Linked DNA regions of Cricetulus griseus. The main gene of each other region encodes a partner of the protein of the gene in region 2 in a complex. Links are inferred from orthologs where the notes say so. Each region holds a gene or a part of one and is shown on either strand. Other genes may lie near its edges.

Region 1 (3,651 bases), on a different chromosome or scaffold from region 2:
ACATTGAGTATACATTATGCTACTTCTGATGTACCAAACCCCATATATCCTAAACACAGAGTGTGCAACTTTGTAGAAAGGAAAACAGTATCCATAACAAAAGGAAGCATAAAAATTCAGTCTCAAGCACAAAGCTCTATCACAGACCACTGGCCCTCCACTTCTTTCAAAAGCATGGGAAATTGACCAATGTCATGCTATTCCTTGAGACATCTTTCCCCCTCCACCCCACTAAGACAGGGTTTCTCTGTGTAGCTCCAGCTGCACTGCAACTCACTTTGTAGAGCAGGCTGGACTAGAACTCACAGAGATGTGCCTGCCTCTGCCTCCTGAGTGCTGGGATTAAAGGTGTGCTCTACCATCTCCTGGCCCCTAAGACATCTTAATAGAGGCTCACCCCTTGATTATAGGCCTCTCGGGCCTTCTCCATCAGTTCCCCCTGCTCCTCAATCTGCCCCTTCATCATCCACAGCTTGGGGAAGTCTTCATAGTGCCTCAGAGCCTCCTCACATAACTCCTGGGCAGCAGTGATGTTCCCCAACACCCACTCCAGCTTCACAGATTTCATGAATACCTGTAAAGCAGACAAGCACCATCACACCAGAGTTGTTACTTCTACCATCTATCTGGATGCTAACTACCTTCATATCACACACATGACATCATAGACATCGTTCACACACATCTGTCCTGTACCTCATAAGTTGTTGTATGTAGCTCTTTTGTATATACAAGAGGTATAGATAAATAAAGGAATGCCTTTTTTTTTTTTTTTTTTTTTTTTTTGGTTTTTCAAGACAGTTTCTCTATGTTGCCCTGTATACCAGGCTGGACTTGAACTCACAGAGATTCACCTGCCCCTGCCTCCCAAGTGCTGGAATTTAAGGTATAAGCCACCACCGCCCAGCTAAAGAAATGCATTTTAAAGCCCAATAACACGATTGGGCTGTGGCATGAGCTGTCCTACTCATCTCACTCCTTCCCAATGCCATGTATGAGCCAAGAGGCACTCTGCCAATACTGCCCCACCCACCAGCCACCACTCACACGGGCAGTGGGTGCGCTGCTCCGTGCCTTGGCCAGCAGCCTCCGGGCTCGCTCGTATTCATTGTTCTCGGACTCCAGCTTTACAGCCGCCAGCCAAATCTCTTCACTGTTGGGGTTGGCCTGGAGAATAAGCACAGCTGCATCAAAAAGGCTCAAAACAAAAGTGACCAGGGCTAGACCACACTTAATTAAGAACAGGCAGTCTGAGAAGTGAACTGAACCTCACTCTGATACAGGACTAGTATGCTTCTGCACAAGCTAGGAAATGTAGATCTCAGCTTGGGGGGGAAACACACACACACACACACACACACACACACACACACACACACTCTCTCTCTCTCTCTCTCTCTCTCTCTCTCTCTTTTACTCTTGTACAGAGATGAAGCAACAATACTAGTATTGTAGAGCCACCCTCTCTAGGATGCATCTAAATTCTGCACGGCCTTTCAAAACTATGATTGGCTCACTCACATCTTTGCATCAGAATCTGCTACATCTAACTTCATCCCTTCCCCTCAGGTAGCCCATGTGGTCAGGGTAGATCAAGGTGAGATAATGAAGTGTAAAGGGTTCCCACAGGCATGGACCAAGCTATACAAACTTAAGAGTCCAGGGGACATAAAAGTAGTGCCTCATAATGTGTACCTACCCTCCTTAAAGACTTCTGCAACATGGCCATGGTGTCTATGGTTATGGTAAAAGTGAACCACCTTAAAATTCTAGCACACAACTTGAGGAGAAAACTGTATGTAGAAAGGACATCACTTATCTGGCACAGCACTATCACCTATTCCTATAGTCTCTTCGGATAACAGCTGTACTGACGCAAGTTAGCTCTTCTGGTGCTTATTTACAACAGACAAACTTTACTGTTGCCCTGGGCTATGATACTAGACTGGTTCAATTCCCAGCAACCACATGGTGGCTGACAACCATCCCTTATGAGATCTGGTGCCCTCTTCTGATGTGCAGATATACATGGAATCGGAATGTTGTATATATAATAAATAAATAAAATCTTTTAAAAAAAGACACAGACACAGGAGGATAGCACATGCTTCTAAAAAAATATTAGGATCATTTTTTGTTGTAAAAAAATTTAAATGTTACATGTAGGTTAAGGAGATGGCTTAGTGTGTAAAGTGCTTACTGGACACCCACATAAAAGCCAGGCATGGCAATGCACATCTGTAACCCCAGTACTAGAGGGTGTAGTCAGATGAATTCTAAAGACTAATTGGTAACCAGGTGAACCAAAGCTGTAAGCTCCAGGTTCATTGAAAGATCTTGTCCCCAAAACAACAACAACAACAACAAAAAACAAACCCAAAAAAACAAAAACAAAAAAACCCCTCAGGGTGTGTTAGGCAGCCCTGCACTCAGGAGGCAGAGGCAGAGGCAGAGGGAGTTCGAGATCAGACAGTTTACAGAATGAGATACAGATAGCCAAGACACAGAAAAGCCCTGTCTAGGAGGAAAAAAAAAAAAAGTAGACAGTGATATAGGAAGACACTCTAGGTTGACCTCTAGCTTATACACACACACATTGTATGTATTGTAACAGCTAGGCCTCATTAGGCCAGTAAGTCTATCTGTTTTAGTAACATTGTATGTATTGTAACAGCTAAGCCTCATTAGGCCAGTAAGTGTATCTGTTTTAGTAACATTGCATGTATTGTAACAGCTAGGCCTCAGCAGGCCAGTAAGTATATCTGTTTTAGTAACATTGTATGTATCGTAACAGCTAGGCCTCATTAGGCCAGTAAGTATATCTGTTTTAGTAGGACAGCACTCTCACAAAGGCATTAAGCACCCAGGCAGCTTACATTGTGGTCTTGTACTCTGGAGTACCTGGCCTATAGTCATATGAAATAGAAGGGAACTGAGGCCAGTGTGGCTGGTTGCAATGTTCCTCATGCTTAGGCCTCATAGACAAGGCCACCCACACAATCCAGTGTCTCTAGACTAGATCATGACATATCCCAAAGAATATGCACAAGGTAAGCTCTAAGGCCACAGTAGCACTAACACTGAGTTTGTGTTCATGGCCCCTTCCAATACAGGCATCCTTTACCTACCTGGAAGGCCAGGGCCAAGATGCTCCTTGCTGCAGGCACATCCCCTGCCAGCCACTTGGATTTGGCACCCATGAGCCACAGCACCTCTGCCTTGGGGCAGTGGGCCACAGCCCTCTGCAGGAGTGCTTCCAGAGACTCCCTGCAAGAGAAAGGCCATAGTCACTAGGGTCAGGGCCATAAATCAGAGCACACAGCCATCTAGATGCTGAAAAGACAGCTACCACTCCAAAGTTCGGTACTATTAATGATTTACGAGATTTTACGATGGGGAGAGTGTAGGGAAATCTTTCTTTCCCATAAAGAATCTAAAATCAACTACTGAAGAGGACTCTATAAAGCAAAGCATTGTTTAAACAGCAAAGCCTTTTACAGCCATGTATCCTGGGGGCAGTGATAACATGGCAGTCTGGTGACAATGAAGGCCCTTTTATCTTGAAGCACAGAGGACACCCTGGATTCATTGATAAAGATTAAGGTCCCTGGCACCCATAACCCCCTCCCCCAAACAAAACAAAAAGGTCTT
Region 2 (3,651 bases):
TTGTTGCCATCATTGAAGATTTCTATTAAAATTGTTTTAGCACCCTAATGAAAGCTGATCATATATATTTGGGTCTTTTTCTGTATCTGCTCTATTTGTCCATCTGAATTTTTTTTTATGCCCAATAAATATACAAATGCTTGCTTGATGGATGAAGGGATATAACAATAGAATGAGGAGAGGAAAAAAAAATGCAGTCTTTGCCAAACTGTTCTTTAAGAATTTTGTTTTTGTTTGTGCTGGTGGTTGAACCCAGGGCCCTGCACATACGAGGCAAGCCCTGCCCCCTACTATTGAGCCCAAACCCCAAACCAGGGAATTCTTTTTGAAAATACCTGCTAAAGCAAAGTACAAAATGTTCTTGGTCTCCCAGTTGTCACTAAGACATACAGGCTTGAATGGTGAGGCATTGTTTATGCCAGAAAGGAATTTCTTGTTAGTATGACTGAATGATATTTATAGTACCTTGTATATAGTAGACTGACTCAGTCTGCTGTTGATTGTTGGTATAGTTTATTTTATTTGTTTTTAAGTTACGACCGTTCATGGCGCTTATGGGATTTAGAGGCTCAAGAGGAGATCCTGCATCAGGAAGGCCACAGCATGGGTGTGTATGACATTGCCTTCCATCAAGATGGCTCTTTGGCTGGCACTGGGTAAGCTTCCTCCACAAAGCAAGGGTTGGGCAGGTCAGTAGTCTCACCTCTTAGGCATCCCTGCTTCCCTGTGGAACTGGGTTTAGAGTACTCACATGTATGTTGTTTCTTCAGGGGACTGGATGCATTTGGTCGAGTTTGGGACCTACGCACAGGACGTTGCATTATGTTCCTAGAAGGCCACCTGAAGGAAATCTATGGGATAAATTTCTCCCCCAATGGGTAAAGCACAATCAGTGAACGGGAAGGGTTCTGGTCAGATAGTACTTTTTGTTTCTAACTGTGATACTTCTGATCCACAGCTACCACATTGCAACTGGCAGTGGTGACAACACCTGCAAAGTGTGGGACCTTCGACAACGACGTTGTGTCTACACCATCCCTGCTCATCAGAACTTAGTGACCGGTGTCAAGTTTGAGCGTAAGTTTTGCTCTTGTTCTCAGCCTTAACATCAGACCCTTTGCTTCATGGACTACATGCCAGGCATTAGACTTAGACATGGAACCTCTGTTACAGAAGCAAATTTTAATTTCCTTCCTTCTGCCATACCTACAGACAAAGCTATGGCAAAATATGCTTCTTGAGGCTAAGACTTCTGTTCAGGTTCTGTTCCATTTTGTCCTCCATGAATGGTCAGGCACTAAATGCTTGATGTTACTGTCCACCAGGGAAAGAGCACATAGACTTCATTCCGTTACTTGGTTGTCCTCAATCTGCTCGTGACTGTTCCTTAATCGTACAGGGCCCCCTAGGAATGTAGACTCTGTTACGTTTGTCTGAGATTAATATGTTTTGGCAGATCTTTGTGCTTTTTTTTTTTTTTTTTTTTTAAGCCCTTTTTTAATTGCTCATGTTTGCTTAATTTCTCCTGCAGCTATCCATGGAGACTTCTTGCTCACAGGTGCCTATGATAACACAGCCAAGATCTGGACCCACCCAGGCTGGTCCCCATTGAAGACTTTGGCTGGTCATGAGGGCAAAGTAATGGGCCTAGACATTTCTTCTGATGGGCAACTCATAGCCACTTGCTCATATGACAGGACCTTCAAGCTCTGGATGGCAGAGTAGGCAAGACCATGGAAGGACTTGGACCTTGTGCTCTCACCGAGGAGCCATTTTCCTCAGAGGAAAAGAATTGTGTTGTGTTCTATCATGTTTTCTGCCAAATACCATGTGTAGGATTGGATTTTCACAACAACCCCACTTCTGAGTAACCCAGTCTCTAGGTGATGGCAAACCCTTCATGGTTAGAATACAATTCTCATCTCAGGTTCTGCCATAAACCATAAACTGTGTAGACATTGTTTAGACTAATCGATTTGAATGTTCTCCCATCTCTTTCGGTTTCAGTACTCAGGATTGGGATTTTTTTTTTTTTTTTTTTTCTTTTTTGTATTTTGAGACAGGGTCTGTCTGTTTAGTCCTGACTGTCCTGTCTATGACAGGAGGCCTCACATTTTAAGTGACTCTCTGGCTTCTGCCTTCCAAGTGATGGCATTACAGAAGTGTGCTGCTGGGCCTTACAGTTGCTTTTGTAATGCTTGAAAAGTGGCTGGCTGTAACATGGTATGTGCTCTGTACTACATGTGATTCAGCAGGAAGATAGCAGACTGCATTTGAAACTCCCCCAGTTAAGAGGGCATGCCAGAAGGCAGGGACAGGCACTCACAGATCTCGAGGCCCGCCAGGTCTACAGAGGGAGTTCCAGGACAGGCTCCAAAGCTACAGAGAATCCCTGTCTCAAAAAACCAAAAGGCGGGGGCATTCTGCTCTAAGTGCTAGTTGAGCGGGGCCTGAGCAAGCTCCCCTCCTGCTCCAGAGGAGATGTCTGTCAAGCAGTAGACTGCAGCTGCATGATGATGCAGAAGCAAAGAAGATTGGCCTCTTCCTGTGGAGTTCACAGCTATGTTAACTGCATCAGGGAACTCAGAACTGAACATGTCTGCCTTGTTGGGGAAAACCTCTTCCATTTTGCTTTGAAGTTTGGCATCCTTCGAGATAAAACAAGGCCATTGTATCCAGATTCAAAGGAGTTTTTAGAAAACAAACATGTCTGTGGTACAACCTCCTTCCTGTTGATTATTTAAAGGGTGTACTTTATGTATTAAAAAGATACTTCGTGTCAAAGTAAATAAGGAAAAAAAATCCCTAATTTATGTTTGGGTGTTCCCAAACATGATCATTTTTTCTTTATTATACACTTGCTGAGAGTAAAATCCTACCATAAAAATGTCTTTCAAGGAGGTCCTCTTTAAGTTTTGAGAGCTAATGTAATTCCAGGGGTGAATTGTCCAATTTCTGACACTATTCACAGATGTTTATAGAGGGCTTTTTCAGGGGAAAGGGGTAGGGTTTTTTTGAGACAGGATCTTTCTGTGTAGCTCAGATTGGCGTCAGATTCTTAATGCTCCTGCCTCTGCATCTCAAGGTGCAAAGGGTGTACAGCTTTTTTTTTTAATAGAGTTGTTGGCCTAGGGAAGCCAACAGCAGTGAGCTGTGTCTGAGCTCCCTAATTCTTCATCAGTCTTGTGATTCTCTTCACCTTCCCACTGTGGGTATATATCCTCAAGAATTGAACAGTAAAATCCACACAAGACAGTAATGTAAGAAGGTCGTCTATATAGAGAGTAAAACTAGCATGAACTTGTATTCCGTATTCAAAACTACACTCTGCCAGCTTCCTGTTCTGTCCTGCCCCCTTCGGGTTATGGATATGTGGTATAGAGCAAAACATGGTTTGGGGTTTTTGTTTTTTTACAGAGTCTTACTATGTAGCCCTGGCTGGTCTAGAACTTAATGTATTAGACCAGGTTAAGCTCAAATTCAGTGATCACCTGCATCTGGCTTCCAAGAGCTAGTATTAAAGGGGTATGCCCACCACTCCCAGCAAAACATTTTAATCTGATTCCAGTTATAGCTAACCGTATTTCCTCTGTAGTTGTAAGCTTCTCAGGTCTATTCCTTCATTTGGAACTTACCACCCTTAACTTGTTC
Region 3 (3,751 bases), on a different chromosome or scaffold from region 2:
TATTAGAGAAAAAGAGTTTATTAATAACACTATCATACCACCTAAAACTCCCCATGTGCTCCTCATGGACCAAAGCCACCACTGTCTCTCCCCTATCCTTCAATTCCCATTTCCCAGATCATCAACATCTGCTAGTAATCCCAACATTAATTGATGCTTAAGAGTTTCAACAATGGTTCCTGATGAACTAAAGGTAATAAAGATTAATAAGCAAATGAATCTTAAGGCCCAATGCTCTTTCAATAGCTGCGTTGGGGCACTGATCACTGAAGGCTCCCTTCCCATCCTCAGCATGTCTAGACCGTGAACACTGAGCTAAGCAGCAGTGTTCTGTAATCCCTGCCCTATAAAAGTAATTAAATTCAAAATAAAACAGCTTTAATGTCTTACCATCGTTATATTATTTCCATTTAGTAAAATCTGATCTAATTTTGTAATCCTTCTTCCTTCTGGTGTAATTTCACTAAATAGATAAAAAATGGAGTCAGGATAAACAAGTATTCAAAGGCAATTATTTTGGAAACGCTTTTCCTCTCTAAAAATTATTCCTGGGGTAAAGAGGTTAGCTCGGTGGCAGAGCACCACCTGGGTGGCAGAGCACAAGGCCCTAGGTTCAATCCCTAGCATCAAAACTGTTATTCTTACATATGAATGAATGTGAACTCATACAATTACAATAATTTTCAGCAATACAGTCTGCCCACCAGATAATAGTTATGTAAATATAAAACTTCATAAATACAGAAGTAAATATAAAGATATATTACAAAGATATAATATAGAAGTAAATGTAAAGTCACTATAAAGCGTGTTTACACTAATTTCTTAGAAATTCAGGAATAATGACATTAAGATAATAATCTTCTGGCCCAACCTCACAAATACCGGTAAATAAGTCAGCATTAAAAGAATTCCAACAGGTAATACTTTATCCATCATACTAATCCTGCTATTGTAGTTTAAATGAAAATGGCCTCCACGGGCTCACGTTGACAGAACTGTTTGGGAATGGCTAGGAGGAGTGGCCTTGTCTGAGGTGTGTCACTGTGGCGGTGGGCTTTGAGGTTTCAAAAGAATAAATTATAACCAGTTGGCTCTCTGTTTGTCTCATGGTTATCTCAACATAGAATCACTTAGCTATTGCTCCAGCCCCACACCTGCCTGCCTGCCTGCCTGCCTCCACACACCTCACCATGAAAAAACGTGGACTCTAACCCTCTGAAACTGTAAGCAAGCCCACGCAGTAAACGCTCTCTTTTATAAACTGCCTTGGCCATGCTGTCTCTTCACAGTAACAGAAAAGGAACTAGGGTACCTGCCTTTAATTCAAAAAGATATTTCCTCCTCTCCTCCCCCATTTATTTGTCATTTTTAATACTACTCACAACTCTGTGACATCTTCCAACACCATATCTGAAATTTGTTGTTAAGAAAATAAACAAGGTTGAATTTATTCTGGTTTATGTTTTTGTTTGGTTGCAAAAATGTTCAACACAATGGTGCAAATTCAAAAGGTTTGTTGTTGGAGAGAACCCTATCTGCTTTCTGCAAGCACACCTCTTAAAATGTTACCAAGTTCCTGGAAAATAAATAATTTTTAATGTAATAAACAGAAATATGTCATCTGTCTACAGCTCTTATATTAATACATCTTTAAAAACCTGTTCCATGAACACTTTTTAAAAGGATACTGACAAAGTCATCAAATCCTAGAAGTGTACCAACAATTTCTTTATCACTCTTCATCACAATGTGAATTCTTGATCCTATACACTTGTCCACGAGCTCTGTGGAAAGAAAAAGATTGTTTTACCCACTTATTAGTTCAACAAGCATTCGAGTGCTCACTTTACTATTTCCGTATCATTAAAGAGAAACAAAAAGCAGTCACTAAATAACTACATCTTACACAAATCTCCGCTCAGCCATTAGCACAAATGTTTGTCTTGGCCTTCGCTTACCTCCTTTTTTGCTGCAACTAACGGGACTGTGATTTTGACTATTTGGTTAATGTATGAAAAACAATTACACCACAAGGTGGAAACCATGTTAGTTTTTCCTCATCAGTGTTTCTGCCGATGAACATACCCTGGAGTGGACCCTGCAAGAACTTTCCATCATTGCCACATTGACTAACTTCACCGGCGCCAAAACATGACAGAGGAGAGGCCTCACGACCGACACCAGCTTCCTGTCACTTCTCTCATCTTGCCTTTAGCTCTGTGCTTGGAGACCAACCTGAGCATCTCCGTGGCCAACCGAGAACTGCTCGGCACGAAGTCTTTCAGTGTGCTATCTGAAAGCAATGGCCGTAGTTTAAATTCGTTATTCAACAGTACCCTGGCACGGGGAGGGAACTGCTTGATGGATGGATGAATGAATGAATGAACGAACGAATGACGGAGCTAGTCTCCAGATTTCTTTCTAGGAGTCACTGTAGACCGTGGCGCCCTCCTCACACCGCCAAATGCAATACAGGGGCTCCCTAAGGTGTAGACCGGAAAGGCCACACTGCGAGCTGGGCCGGCACCGGGACATCTTAACCGGCGAGCTCACAAGCAAGGCCGAGGGCGTCCTTCACCAAGTGGGGCCCCCGCCGGCCGCCGACAGACAACGGGCTCGGTCTCCGCAGCGGCCCCAGGGGCAAGCCTCCGGCGCGGGCGTGGGGCCGCAGCAACCCGCCCGCGCCCCGGGCGAGACTTTTACCTAGCGGCAGGAGCTGAGACGGGTTGGTGGTCGCGTTAGCCGCCATGGCCACGCCGGAAGTGGCATAGGGCTACGGGCGCAGACTTTAAAAGAGCGCGCTTCCGCCCTTTCCCACAACTGGCTCAGACGGAACTAATCGGAGGCAGATCTGGCGATCGCGGGGTATCCAAATGGATCACCGACAGACTCGATAGAATAGTTCCGCACTATATCGGTGCCACCATCCCGTGCCCCCGAAGTTTTGCTAACTTGACAGTTTGTCTCCTCTATATCTGCCTGAAGACTACAACATACGAGATCTCTGAGTCGGCTAGTTTTCCTCTAAAAGGTTGGATCTTTCTTCAGAGCCATAAAATCAATGAGGATTTGCTATCACCAACTCGTTCTGCGTTTGTCTCAACTACTACTCATTTTCTTAAGGAATCCTGTACTTTTAAGCCTAGAGTACTGAAAACCCTTACGAAGCATCTTTTAAAAATATTCTATACCGAGTATTCAAAGGTTTTTTTTAATTTTTGCTACTTTATTTTATTCTGGTTTTTCGAGGCAGGGTTTCTCTGTATTGTTTTGGGGACTGTCCTGGAACTCGCTCTGGAGACCAGACTGGCTTCGAACTCACAGAGATCCGCCTGCCTCTGCCTCCCCAATGTTGGGATTAAAGGCGTGCACCACCAATGCCCGGCTTCTTCTTGTCCTTTTAGAAGTCTAGTTTATTGCAGGCTTTTGCAGTTACTAACACTTATTGATTTACAGGTAACTGCTAGATGTCACTCCGTATGTTGGTGTCATCACATTTGGAAAACATGCTATCACACTTGTGTTTTGGAAAAAGATAAAAAGCTGCTGTGAGGAGTGGCCAGCAATCCCAGCGCTTAAGAAACAGAAGGAGGCCACAGTTGCCAAGCATGGACAACTTAGTAAGACCCTGACACGAAATAGGAAATAAAAACTAATGAGAGCTTAACCACCTTGCTTAGCACTAGAGTGCTTTCCTAGCATTCATGACTTCATGAGACCTGGGTTGTCCCTACTTAAAAAGAAAAAA

What was found.
Region 1: Prpf4 (region 2) and pre-mRNA-processing factor 6 share a complex: the UniProt entries of both Homo sapiens proteins name them as parts of the U4/U6-U5 tri-snRNP complex. The link is inferred for Cricetulus griseus from reciprocal best matches to the Homo sapiens genes PRPF4 and PRPF6.
Region 3: Prpf4 (region 2) and Lsm5 share a complex: the UniProt entries of both Homo sapiens proteins name them as parts of the precatalytic spliceosome. The link is inferred for Cricetulus griseus from reciprocal best matches to the Homo sapiens genes PRPF4 and LSM5.

What each region holds. Positions count from the first base shown.
Region 1 is NC_048599.1:257,655-261,305, forward strand, and holds part of pre-mRNA-processing factor 6, read right to left. Parts: intron 3,268-3,651; coding exon 3,129-3,267; intron 1,168-3,128; coding exon 1,048-1,167; intron 575-1,047; coding exon 398-574; intron 1-397. UniProt on the Homo sapiens protein: Involved in pre-mRNA splicing as component of the U4/U6-U5 tri-snRNP complex, one of the building blocks of the spliceosome.
Region 2 is NC_048595.1:83,446,471-83,450,121, reverse strand, and holds part of Prpf4 (U4/U6 small nuclear ribonucleoprotein Prp4), read left to right. Parts: intron 1-533; coding exon 534-656; intron 657-770; coding exon 771-878; intron 879-958; coding exon 959-1,077; intron 1,078-1,531; coding exon 1,532-1,725; 3' UTR 1,726-3,651. UniProt on the Homo sapiens protein: Plays a role in pre-mRNA splicing as component of the U4/U6-U5 tri-snRNP complex that is involved in spliceosome assembly, and as component of the precatalytic spliceosome (spliceosome B complex).
Region 3 is NC_048601.1:84,604,866-84,608,616, reverse strand, and holds the start of Lsm5 (U6 snRNA-associated Sm-like protein LSm5), read right to left. Parts: upstream 2,829-3,751; 5' UTR 2,753-2,828; coding exon 2,707-2,752; intron 1,788-2,706; coding exon 1,692-1,787; intron 1,414-1,691; coding exon 1,386-1,413; intron 464-1,385; coding exon 391-463; intron 1-390. UniProt on the Homo sapiens protein: Plays a role in pre-mRNA splicing as component of the U4/U6-U5 tri-snRNP complex that is involved in spliceosome assembly, and as component of the precatalytic spliceosome (spliceosome B complex).